Mus musculus: one gene and its partners. The protein of the gene in region 1 binds, or shares a complex with, the protein of each later gene. Links are inferred from orthologs where the notes say so. Each region holds a gene or a part of one and is shown on either strand. Other genes may lie near its edges.

The links. Proteins that work in one complex are often made in the same cells at the same time.
Region 2: Smc4 (region 1) and Ncaph share a complex: the UniProt entries of both Homo sapiens proteins name them as parts of the condensin complex. The link is inferred for Mus musculus from reciprocal best matches to the Homo sapiens genes SMC4 and NCAPH.
Region 3: the proteins of Smc4 (region 1) and Ncaph2 are in contact, whole or in part, in a cryo-EM structure (PDB 9F5W), measured with the Homo sapiens proteins. The link is inferred for Mus musculus from reciprocal best matches to the Homo sapiens genes SMC4 and NCAPH2. Residues at the interface, in NP_001002800.1 of Homo sapiens: Ile100, Leu101, Gly102, Pro103, Ile112, Gly113, Pro114, Ser117, Gln1151, Met1152, Leu1155, Phe1227, Lys1228, Ser1231, Ile1232, Phe1235, Tyr1236, Glu1239, Gln1240, Asn1253, Asn1254, Phe1256, Glu1257, Arg1261, Gly1264, Ile1265, Tyr1266, Lys1267, Thr1268, Tyr1269; in NP_689512.2 of Homo sapiens: Arg494, Ile495, Trp498, Glu499, Thr501, Val502, Leu505, Leu506, Gln509, Glu510, His512, Phe547, Cys550, Arg551, Met553, Leu554, Leu557, Gln558, Ala560, Asn561, Tyr563, Val565, Glu566, Ile567, Gln569, Leu573, Glu574, Ala576, Val577, Asp578.

Annotation. Positions count from the first base shown.
Region 1 is NC_000069.6:69,021,587-69,025,331, forward strand, and holds part of Smc4 (structural maintenance of chromosomes protein 4), read left to right. Parts: intron 1-639; coding exon 640-873; intron 874-2,578; coding exon 2,579-2,764; intron 2,765-3,745. UniProt on the Homo sapiens protein: Central component of the condensin complex, a complex required for conversion of interphase chromatin into mitotic-like condense chromosomes.
Region 2 is NC_000068.7:127,131,155-127,135,373, forward strand, and holds the start of Ncaph (condensin complex subunit 2), read right to left. Parts: upstream 2,801-4,219; 5' UTR 2,714-2,800; coding exon 2,695-2,713; intron 1-2,694. UniProt on the Homo sapiens protein: Regulatory subunit of the condensin complex, a complex required for conversion of interphase chromatin into mitotic-like condense chromosomes.
Region 3 is NC_000081.6:89,354,419-89,358,518, forward strand, and holds the start of Ncaph2 (condensin-2 complex subunit H2), read left to right. Parts: upstream 1-1,300; 5' UTR 1,301-1,417; coding exon 1,418-1,525; intron 1,526-4,100. Other genes in the region: Lmf2 (lipase maturation factor 2), read right to left, coding at 9-37, 146-399, 938-1,031. UniProt on the Homo sapiens protein: Regulatory subunit of the condensin-2 complex, a complex that seems to provide chromosomes with an additional level of organization and rigidity and in establishing mitotic chromosome architecture.

The DNA of each region.
Region 1 (3,745 bases):
AAGACTATCTCAAACTGTTTTACCTTTCATTTAAAATACCTAAACCTTTGGTCTATAATATTTGCACACACACATACACACACATGCGTTTTTTCACTTTGAAATAAAAAAAGTTAAGTGAAAAAAAAATTGTAATTGTAGGAAATGTGAGGTCAATACTTGAGCATATAGCAATTCTGTACATTTGGTTTGTCGTTTGATTTACATTGGGGTTTTTCTATGTATCTTTACCCCTTGTTAATGATAAAACTATCAATGAAATTGAAATGAAATCTTCCCATGATGCATATTTTTCAACAAATACATTTGAAAAAATTTTGTGAATAGTTCTTATACCTGGTAATGTAGAAACAGTATGAAATCTAGGTGTAAGTCCAGTGTTTCCTTAATTATTACATTTTTATTTCAGAAATGAGCATGCTATGCCAGCTTCACAAAACTCATAGGACATCAGTTAGGAAGAGACAATGAATAGTGTAAATGGAAAACTAGACATGGGCTACTTTAATCTACTCCACTTATTCAAATTATTTTTTAATAGTACTCTGTAGACCTTCCTTTCTTAATTGACTCAAGAAATACAGTTTCAATCTAAACTTGAAAATATATTTCACTTCTAATGAACTCATATTTTAATAGATTCAAGAAAAGGAACTTATGGGTTTTAACAAATCAGTAAATGAAGCACGTTCAAAGATGGAAGTTGCTCAGTCAGAACTTGATATCTATCTCAGTCGACATAATACAGCAGTGTCTCAATTAAGTAAGGCGAAGGAAGCCTTAATTACAGCTTCTGAGACTCTCAAGGAGAGGAAAGCTGCAATCAAGGATATAAACACAAAGCTCCCTCAGACGCAACAGGAACTAAAGGAGGTAAATTACTTCTGTATTTCATCTGCATCGTCATCTCTAGAGTTATATGTGGGAGTTGTTTGTTTTGTTTTTAATGTCCAAGTTTAAAGTGGTTGTTATAAAAAAATTTTCTTAATATACTCTTGAATGAGGAAACATTTTAATATTTGAATTTAGTAATAATTAGCTGGACTTATAAATGTGGGTAGGGAGGTTCTATAGCATGTACAAGGCCTGGGTTCCATCCCTAATACATCCCAAAAAAGAAAGAATGGGAGTAGAGTCACTATTGTCTCCAAACACAAATAACCACTGCCACAGTCCCATAGGAATAATTAAACATTTCTCAGGCTGGATATGAAGCTCAGTTGGTAGAGTGCTTACCTATCCCTAGCCAGGAATGTCAGTGTGCCTATAATCTTAGCATTTGAGAGGTTGAAGCAGGAGATCACTTTTAAGACCAGTGTTAGTGGGGCTGGAGAGATGGCTCAGCGGTTAAGAGCACTGACTGCTCTTCTGAAGGTCCTGAGTTCAAATCCCAGCAACCACATGGTAGCTCACAACCGTCTGTAATGAGATCAGATGCCCTCTTCTAGTTATTTGAAGATAACTACAGTATACTTACATATAATAAATAAATCTTTAAAAAAAAGAGAGAGACCAGTTTTAGCAACATAGTAGATTCCACACTAGCCTATTTTCTCCCTCCCAAAAAAATGTTTCTCTAAATAGATAAATGTGGGTAACTTATATAAACATACATGAAAAGTAACAAAGTTTTTAAAATTTCTTAGTTAGACATCCCCACCACCTCCCGCCACCTGGTTATTTGAGGAACTGGAGAGGTGGCTTAGCAGATACAAGCATTTGCTACTCTTACTAGTTCCCAGCACGCGCATTGGGTGGTTCATAACTACCTGTGACTTCAGCTCCAGGGTTTCTGATACTCTCTTCTGGACTCCAGGGAAACCTACACCTACACCTACACACACACACACACACACACACACACACACACACACACACACACACAGAGGTATATATAGTTTAAAAATAAATATTTTTAAATTTTAGTAAATTTATACTGTTTGATCATCAGGCAGTTTCCTGATGTGTAAAATTTAAATGTAAATTAAATTATATCCAGTAATTATTTCTAGTGATTTGTTTTCTTTTGGGATTGTTTTTTATACTTTAAGCTTTTACTCTGACTGGGTCATAAGTAATAGAGGAGAATAACAGTTAGAGAAAGATGGCTGTTTCTAAATTGGGAATTGCGAAACTAAATTTGGGTGTATGATTCTTCTGGTTGACAGCCATTTCCGCCATCTTTTCCATCTCTGTTTAGGAACTATACCTTTTTGTTTTGTTGTTTACTTAGCCAAAAAGACAACAACCACAGAACTGCCCAGCTACACTTACCCTGGAATCCATTTCCTGGATTTGGTTTTGTTTAGGGCAGAACTTGAGAAAAATCTACTAGGGTTTTTATATCCCTATACTTAAAGAGATCTGGGTTTCCTCTTTTTGAGCCAAATAATTTATGCTTCTTTTAAAATAGGAGACACTCATCCGAATGTTTAAAGCCAGGCCAAAATAGCACTATGGAAGCTCAGTGTTACTTAGGGGCCTCACTTATTATTGTTGAAACAGTATAAATAGTTTTCTGCTGCTCTGTAGTGTAGTAAAGATCAAATGCTTGTACGTTTCATCTTCTCACTTTTAGAAAGAAAAAGAACTTCAGAAACTGACACAAGAAGAAATAAACTTAAAAAGTTTGGTTCATGATCTTTTCCAAAAAGTTGAAGAAGCAAAGAGTTCCTTAGCAATGAATCGAAGTAGGGGGAAAGTACTTGATGCAATAATTCAAGAAAAAAAATCAGGCAGGATCCCAGGAATATATGGAAGATTGGTAAGTAGATTTACGTTTTACTCAGAAAAGTCCTAAGAGCCAGGGTCTATATGAGCTCTGATTAGCCTTAAGCCAGCTGTAGCTAAGGTTGACCTTGCACTTCTGATCCTCTTCGGTCTTCCAAGTGCTAGGTCGGCGCTTGGCACTATACAAGAAAAGTTTTTTCAAAAGAGGGGGTTGGAGGGAGACAGGCAGGCCATGGTGATGCATGCTTTAATCCCAGTCCTTGGGAGGCAGAGGCAGAATTCAAGGCCAGCCTGGTCTACATATTGAGTTCTAGGCTGACCAGAGTTACACGGTGAGACCCTTTCTTTAAAATCAGTTTTAGGATGTGGTGCAATATTGCTTAGAGATCTGTTATCCTGTTAATCACCATGGCTGATTTGACTGATCTTACTAAATAAGCTTGTGCCTATTCTCTGTTTCTCCCTCACCGTTCAAAGTATGTCTTTCTTGAAGCTGCACAACTCATTCTAACAGATGACCTATCCATTTGGAAGAGGACTGATTTTTTTTATTTTTATTTTTTAATTTGGTCAAAGGTGTACCAAGTTGCTTTCCTTGCTAGGCCCAGACCAAAAAAAAAAAATTAATATAGTCTAGGTTTCATAACATACTTAACATTTTGGTTATGGTTTCGGGAGGTAGACTAATTTAGAACTCTGGTAGTACTAGTTTGGGGGATCTATACCTTTCTTAGCCTTAGCATGGAAGAATGCTATATGATTTAGAATGCTGTAAGTATCTCTATTCTATTCATTTCTTGCCCTGCAACCATAACTGAAACCTGAACCCATACAGTTGATGGTTCCCTATCAGCCTTCTGAAAAAAGAAACAATGATCTGGAAGGACAAATAGAATTTAACCAGCATGGTTACATCTATATCTGATATTAGATGGCTCCTACCTTATTTTCTTAAAGAAATGATCCTGAGTATTTGCTGTTAATAGATTGCTTCATAGCTACTTACATAATTTTA
Region 2 (4,219 bases), on another chromosome or scaffold:
TCTGTGGCTTTTACTCTCTTTATGACTAGAACGCAGGTGAACTTAGCAGCTAGGGGGCCAGTCAGGGAAAAGGCACTGGAAAGCTAAGGAAAGGAAGAGGTGGCCATCTAGGATTAGGAATGAATGAAGTGGAGAGGATGGCATTGCTGACGAAGCTCTGAAGGGCCCAGAACCAGTCACTCAGCAGCCCTGAGGATGTCTCTCTGGCCACTGTCAAGTGTGCAGAATGGCAGTGTTTAAATTAACCAGCGTTCTCGGCACTGCCAAGAGGACACAGGGAGACACCTGATCATATTGACTGACCAGGAAAGTAACATAAATAAGGAGGGAAAGGAACACAAGGTGGCACTGCATGGTGAGAAGCCGCAGAAACAAAAGCCGACCTCAGTATGTAAATAAGAGGAAATGAGCTGGGCACACGGGGGTGGGGGTGGGGGGATAGTGAACACACAGGTAACAGCTGACGAGGCTCCCATCAATGACATGTTCAACGTGTGACTGTGGCACTGCTGACCTACTGTTTTAGAGCAAGACACAAGATTCCTGGAAGGAGTTAAAAGAACCCAACTCATCCTCATCCCTACCCCGATTTAAGAAACAGAGAGCACTGTTTTAAACCTGGCTTTATAATGAATTAGCTAAGAAAACTTTAGGCAAGCAAACAAGCTCTCTGTCTCTATGCTGTCTCTGCTTCACCATCGCCCTGAATGGAAGACCATCACTTGGCTGTGGGTACAGCTAGTGAGGAGTCCTGACCTAGCGCTCATCCTTGGCTGGTAGGTGGGCATGTGCTGAGAAGAAGGAAGAGGGAGGGAAAAAGGGAGAAAAGGAGAGAGGGAGAGAAATGGGAGGAGGGATGGGGGGGAGTGACCCGGGCACAGAACTTGCTGTTTAGGAACAGGTGGCACGATGACATTTTATAGGAACACGGAGAAATAAAAGGAGGCAGGGAGTATAGAGCAATGTAGAATTCTTGCCTGGCACACACACGCCATGGTACAAGGCTTCACCACAAAAGTAAACAAAGAGACATAATAAACAACAAATGCTTGTCCACAGGGCAGCAGGAGGAAAGGCATTACAATGCTTCCTACAGGTCGAGGAGTATAGTTGACACACCAAGACAAAACAAAAAGGTCAAAAGAGGAGATGAGAGACGTTTTATGGGCATAAATCAAGACATCTGTGACTCTGTAAATGTGGGTATGGAAAGGAATTGAGAAACTGGAAGCACGGAGGGGCTAACTCCTCCCCCGCTGCTCTCTGCCGTGGGCAGTAGACAAGAGTCTAGTTCAACAGATTGTTACTGAAGTCAAGAGCACGTTCCTCAGCTCCTCTGCTCTGCTTCGGTTCTCAGCCTGAAGTGCCCACTTCGGGACTCATCTTTTTCTTCTTGAGCTGCTCTAGGCCCTGTGGTACCCATAACCTGAGTTATTTCCTCCCCACACCCGGACAACTGGTGCAGGTCCTGAATGTATTCTCTGCAAGGTCTGTCTAGTGATCTCACCGGTACCCATGGCTTTATCATCTCCATGATGAAGAAAAACAAATCTACCTCCCAGCCTATGGACCTCGGTCAAACTCGCCCAGTAGATACGAACCCCTTCACCTGAGCGCCTCTCCAGAAGTCACAGGCAACAAATCCAAACTGAAACTATTATTCCAAAACTATGACTTAGGTCTACCAGGTGGTCAGTCTCACTAAGCTTAGTTATGACGGTCTAGCTCAGAGTTTCTCAACCTTCCCAATGCTGTGACCCTCTGACACAGTTCCTCATGTTGTGGTGACCCCCAACCATAAAATTATTTTCCATTGCTACTTTATAACTGTAAATTTAGTGGTTATGAATCATAATGTAAATATCTGTGTTTTCTGACGATCTTAGGCGAACCCCGTGTAAAGGTCATTTGACACCTCCCCATGGGGGCTGCCACCCAAAGGTTGAGAACCTACGGTGTAGTTAATTCCTAGACTAGTCCAGGTTCCTTCCTAGCTCTTCTCTTGTACAGGATGCTCAGCCCATAAAGTTCTTCTCAATGTTTGCTTAAAAATCTCGAGTCCATAACGGACAGGAGTTATAGCACTAGGTTTTATCTGTCAAATATTTGCCATACTACCTCAACTTGACACAAGCTCCAAGAGGAAAAGGTATTTATCTGTTTCGTTCCCCACCCCCCGCCCCCTTTCAGAGTGGGTCTCCTGTAATCCAGGCTAGCCTCGAAGTCGCTATAGCTGAGGACAACCTTGAACTTCTAATCCTCCAGTCTCCATCTCAAGTGCCCAGGCTTCTTCGGTTGCGAATCTCGGCGTCTGACCGAAGGTCTGTCCCAAAGGAAGCCCTCAAGACTTTAGAATCAGTTCCAAAACACAGGCACGAATGCTCAACACAGAGCGGTCGACACTTTGCTTCCACAGCTCCCCACACAACGTCCAGTCCAGAAAAAACAAAAAACAAAAAAAACCCACTTTATCCTCCGTTAGAACCAGGGCGCGGGGAGTATTAGAGCCCAGCCGCCACTGGCAGCTGCGTCCTGATTGGCCCAGCGCCCCGCTTTCCCTTGCACTCTCTTCCCCTCCCCCGCCGGAGCCCCCGGCCGAACCCCGCCGAACACATTCGTCCCTTCTGGACCTGCCCACGCGAGCACCCTTCGGTCCTGATCCTGCCAGCCGCGCCTGGACCCACTCGAGCTCACCTGAGCGCGGAATTCTCATCTTGCTCTCCACGTCTCCGGAGTAAGTTTTAAATCGCGAGCGCCAAGCGCGGTAACCGCCGCGTGACGTCACTGGGGCGTGGTCTTTGGTGCGCCTGCGCAGGCCGCCTAGGCGGCTGGCTGATCAGAGTGGCCCCGGAAACTTGGACAGTTTTGAGTCTACGCGCGAGTGAACTAGGTGCAGCGGTGACCCAGCTGAAGACGTTTGGAAACATTCTGGCGCCGAGCGCTGGGCGCGGAGTAGGATGTGTGGATCTGGGCAGGCGAAGGCTGTGCTTTCCTAGAATCTGGATTGTAACGGGGAGGCAGGTTTCTGAGGAATCGAGGTTCTTTGCCGGTAGAAAACGCTGCCCTTATTGGAAGTTCCAGGCAGGCAAGAAGGAATGCAGAGCATTGTGTATGCACGTGTAGACTCCACCCAGAGTATTGTGTATGTATACACCCACAAGGACATTGTGTGTGCTCATGTGTACACAGGCCCCAGAGCATTGCGTTTACATGTGTATACTCTTCCAGGAGCATTGTGTATGCGTGTGTACACACACCCTAGAACATTGTGTTTACTTATGTTTATACCCCCAGTAGTTTTTATATATGTGTGTACATTTCCAAAGAGTTTTCTGTATGTGTGTGTGTGTACATGTCTATACACACACATACCAGAGCATTGTGTATGCTCTTACTTATACATGGACATACCAGAACATTGTGCAGGCATGTGTATCTGCACCAGAGCATTGTGTTCATATATCTATACACATGCATGCACACACATTTAAAACTAAATTTTTGTCCAGATTCTTGTAAAGAGCTTTTTGGAAATCATTTACCTACCATCATTTTTTTAAAAAGAGGCTGGGGTGTAGCTGTTTAGCATCCTTGACATTATTTGCCTGCCTATCAGCAGTACCCCTCATTATGGTGACCAAAACTCTGCCTTTTGTTGAAAGCTACTTTTTAAAAAAATATTTCATTTCATGTGTATGAGTGTTTTCCCTGTGTGTATGTATGTATATTTACCACATGCATGGCTGGTACCTGAGAAGATCAGAAAAGGGTGTCAGATCCTCCGGGACTGGAATGACAGATGTTTGTGAGCCACCATGTGGGTGCTGAGAATGAAACTCAGGTCCTCTGCAAGAGCAACGAGTACTCTAAACTACCTCTCTAACCCCAAAAGCTACTCTTTTTTTTTTTTTTTTTTTTTTTTTTTTTTAGTGATATTCCAGCAGTTACTTTATTATTCAGGATTTTTAAAAAAATTTTTATTAGGTATTTTCCTCATTTACATTTCCAATGCTATCCCAAAAGTCCCCCATACCCACCCCTCCACTCCCCTACCCACCCACTCCCACTTTTTGGCCTTGGCGTTCCCCTGTACTGGGGCATATAAAGTTTGCAAGTCCAATGGGCCTCTCTTTCCAGTGATGGCCGACTAGGCCATCTTTTGATACATATGCAGCTAGAGACATGAGCTCTGGGGTACTGGTTAGTTCATAATGTTGTT
Region 3 (4,100 bases), on another chromosome or scaffold:
TCACTCACCACTGGAAATAAAGGAACACTTGGCCCACCTGTAGGGAGAGAAGTGGTCAGGGAGCCACTGTGTGTCTGCTGCATCAGGTGAGGCAGAGAGAGAGGGTGGGTTAGATGAAGGCTGAAGTTTTAAGTGTCTCACTTGCCTGGTAGGCTGATCGGTATGCAACCCAGAGCAGCAGGTAGACGAAGGGGTGTCTCAGAGAGTTCAGGAGCAGGGCGCCCAGGGCTAGCACGGTGCCCAATAAGGTCAGTAAATCCAGACCTTGGGCAGTATCCAGCCCCAGTCTTGGTGCCTCCCACAGCAGCGTTGGTGTTTCCCACAGCTGCTGCCACAGGCCCTTGCCTTGGGGCCGCAGTGTTCTTCGAGCAGGAAGGATGCCCTCTGGGCCATAGAGGCCTGTGGGAGGGTATGTCAGGGCCAAGTCTTAGACATCTTCCCAGTCTAACATGCACATGAACTTAGGCCCCGGAGATGCTCCACCACCAGCTCCTGGCATGCAGATGTCCCAAACCCCCAACTCCAGGTTGTGCTTGCAGATGTTCCCATCCCAGGCAGGGCTTGCTCTGTCTACCAGATGGTCTCTCTCTCTCACGTTGGAAATTGTTGACCCCCAACACCAGGTTCAGAAGACCTGATTCTGGGTCAGCACCTTCTGTCAATTAGAGCGCATCCCTCTCTTACCTGCCCACAGAGTCCAGGTAGAAATCTGCCACCCACTCCCCTCGGGGTTTTTCCCTAAGCCTAGATGAGACTACTAATAGTTAAGGGAAATCGACCCTTGTGCTTCTTTTTCCTCCACTTTTGTTGCCCGCAAACTACCACCCCTTAATCCCGCGCAGAGAGAGGCCTGGACTTTACACCCGCCTCAGAGGGCAGTGAAGGAAGGGATGCTACCACGTCCACGTGTGACGATTCAACCCCTCCGCGCCCTCACCTGGGATCTGGGTGTAGAGGGACGCAAAGGCGAACAAGTAGACAGCGGCCACACCCTGTAGGAAAAGCTGCTGTGGGACCCGGGAGCTCGCCATGTCCGCTACGCGGTCTTGCCGAAGTAGTGCCCTCTAGTCTCCTAGCTGCCCCCAGCCCGGCCTCTGGCCCACGCCGCAGCCGGAATCCGTCAGTCCGGTCGGGTCACTGAGCTCCACCCAGTGCCAAAGAACTCACCGCTAACCACCTAGAAACTTAGTCTCCTCCGCTCCTCCAGGCCCCCCCCCTAGACACGGAGCCCCGCCCCCGGTGTAGGCCCCGCCCCCGTCGGGCCCGCTTCTTTACTTCTTCGAAACTGGGCCCGCCTGACGTCATACGTGTGCGCGCAGTGCCCTGGCTACGTACTTCCGGGGCGGGAGCACCAAAATGGCGCCAGAACCAGTAGCGGGTTGAGCCATGGTTCCGGGCTTCTAGTCCCGTTCTAGACATGGAGGATGTGGAGGTGCGCTTTGCTCACCTCTTGCAGCCCATCCGGGATCTCACTAAGAACTGGGAGGTGGACGTGGCGGCACAGCTGGGCGAGTATCTGGAGGAGGTGAGGGCGGCGGGGGAATGGCATCGGCCTGGGCGCTCAGGCTGCATTGCCACCCCCCGCCTCCGGGTCTGTAGCCGTCTGGTGTGTCATCCGCAGTCTTGTTTCTTTCCTCACCCCCCTTCAAAATCCAGCCTGCCTCTCGAAACTTTCAGCTAGATTCTCCCGGAGCTGTCCTTTTCAGGCCTCTGTCGGTTAGCGAGCTGTGAAGTCGATTTGGTTGGATGATAATCATTTTTCTCCAACAAGTACATTATTTCCGTTTTCTTTGGGGGAATACAATACATTAAGAAGCAAACTTTTTGTTTTCCCCTTTTGGGGGCGGATTTAACCTGGGGCTTTGGACAGGTTTGGCAGGCACTCTACCACCGAGCTTTTTTTTGGAACCTGTTTTTCTTCTTGAGCCAGGCGCCAAGGCAGGTCTTAAACCCGAAGTCTTCTGTCCCAGTCTCCCGATTATTTGCAACTACCAATCAACCCTACCATACCAGGACTCTTACAGTAATGGAGAGAGATCTGGTTCCCGAAGGAAAAGGGATTTTGTATCTTAGACCTCAAGCCCCGCCCACACGATCTTCCCGCAGTGCGACGCACCCATACCCCAGGCTCTTAATTTGAACCAGTTTTGTCCAGAAGGATCCGCCCCCTCCCCCATCCTGTTGGTGGCCCAGCCCCTCGCCGTAATCTAGCCTATCAGCATTCCATTCCTCCGTTTTGTTTTTTTTTAAGTTCAGGTCTATTCAGTCACTGTCTGCTCCGTTTCTGCACGTTCACACTTTGGCTCAACACAATCGGATCCCACTACTGAATAGTTACAGGTCTCAACTCGAACTGTAGTGGTCTTCGTATTTAAAAATAAAAGAGACGCTCGAAGTGCCCTGTTGGGGAGATTTCTCGGTCTGACAGCTTCCTTTTTGAAACAGTGCTCTTAGGATTTCTATTTGACTGCTTCTGTTTTCTTTCTTAAGTGTCGAGCTTCTTGGGGTGGAGTCTTCTTTCCCTTAAAAATAGAAAATCTTACTTGTGTGATTTTTTTTTTTTTTAAATACAAGTTTTCAACTCCATGTGGTGGGATACACCCATACCGATCTTCCTTGTGAGCTGTCCCAGATTTGTTTGTTCTAGCCACTCCCTTGGCATGTGCTGGGATGTTACTCGAGCTCTTGGATGTTATTTAAAGTGGAGCTTTTGGGTTGTGGTTCAAATTCTAGTCCTCTATTTTGGTAGTGTTTCACTGTTTAACTAAAGGTGAAAATTAAGAGATGTGATAAGGCCTCATGTCTCACACCAAGTTTACCAATGAATTGTGTCAGTTATATTGCAAGAATATACTTCCTTCCCCACTATATCTGGTCTAGGTGTATTAAACCTAGATATTTAAAACCTTCTCATCCAGGCTCTTAGATTGGACACCATCCAGTCTGAAGAATTAAAACTGGAGACAGGGATGGGGGCGCAGGGACCTGGAAAGCTGCCTCATCAATTCAGAGCACTGACTATTCTTTCAGAGGACCCAGGTTCAGTTCTAAGCACCCACAGGACAGATCGCAGCTGTCTGTAATCCCAGTTCCTGGGGATCCAGTGCCTTCATCAGGCCTCCACTGGCACCAAACATACAGGTGGTACACAGATATGGATACAGGCAAAACACCTACATCATTTTTTGTTTTTAGAAAATTTAAATCAGGGCTAGAGAGATGACTGGATAAGAGCACTTGCTGCTCTCGTAGAGGACCTGGGTTCAGTTCTCAGAACCAAAAAAAAAAAAAAAAAAAAAAGTAGCTCACAATGGCCTGTAACTCTACTTCCAGAGGTCCCAGGGCCATTTTTGGATCCATGAACCCCTGCAAGCACATGGTGCACACACATTAGTGCAAGCACACACACATCTTAGGAAAAAAAAAGTTATAACCAGGCCTCAACATTGCATAGTTGTTTGCTTGCTGGTTTGTGGTCTGTCTTTACCCTACAGTATAAATTCTAGAAGGGTAGAGATTCGTATATGCTTTCTTATTCTTTGTAGAATGTCTGACACAGTAGGTGCAGGATAAATGCTTATTAAATGAACATGTATTTTTTTTTAAAAGACTTATTTATTTATTATATCTAAGTACACTGTCGCTGTCTTCAGACACCCCAGAAGAGGGCGTCAGATCCCATGATGGATGGTTGTGAGCCACCTTGTGGTTGCTGGGATTTGAACTCAGGACCTCTGGAAGAGCAGTCAGCGCTCTTACCCGCTGAGCCGTCTCTCTGGCCCTTGATGATCAACCTGCACTGCACAGTTGGCTGAGAAGCGCCAAGAACAGTATTAAGAGGTCATATTGTGGAATCAGGTTTTCTTAAAAGGATCTGTGGGCACACTGTTAAATTTGTTTCCTGGCTTGGTCAGCTCTTCTGCTTCAGATAAGGCTCCTTTCCTGCCCCCGGGTCTGTTCCCATGATGTCTTTAATCTCAGCACTTGGTAGGTGGAGGGAGGAGGATCAGTTCAAGATCATTCTTGGCTCCAGAATCCATGTGAAGCCTGAGCTATAGGAGGCCCTGTTTCAATTATCAAATAACAAGAAGACTATGCCA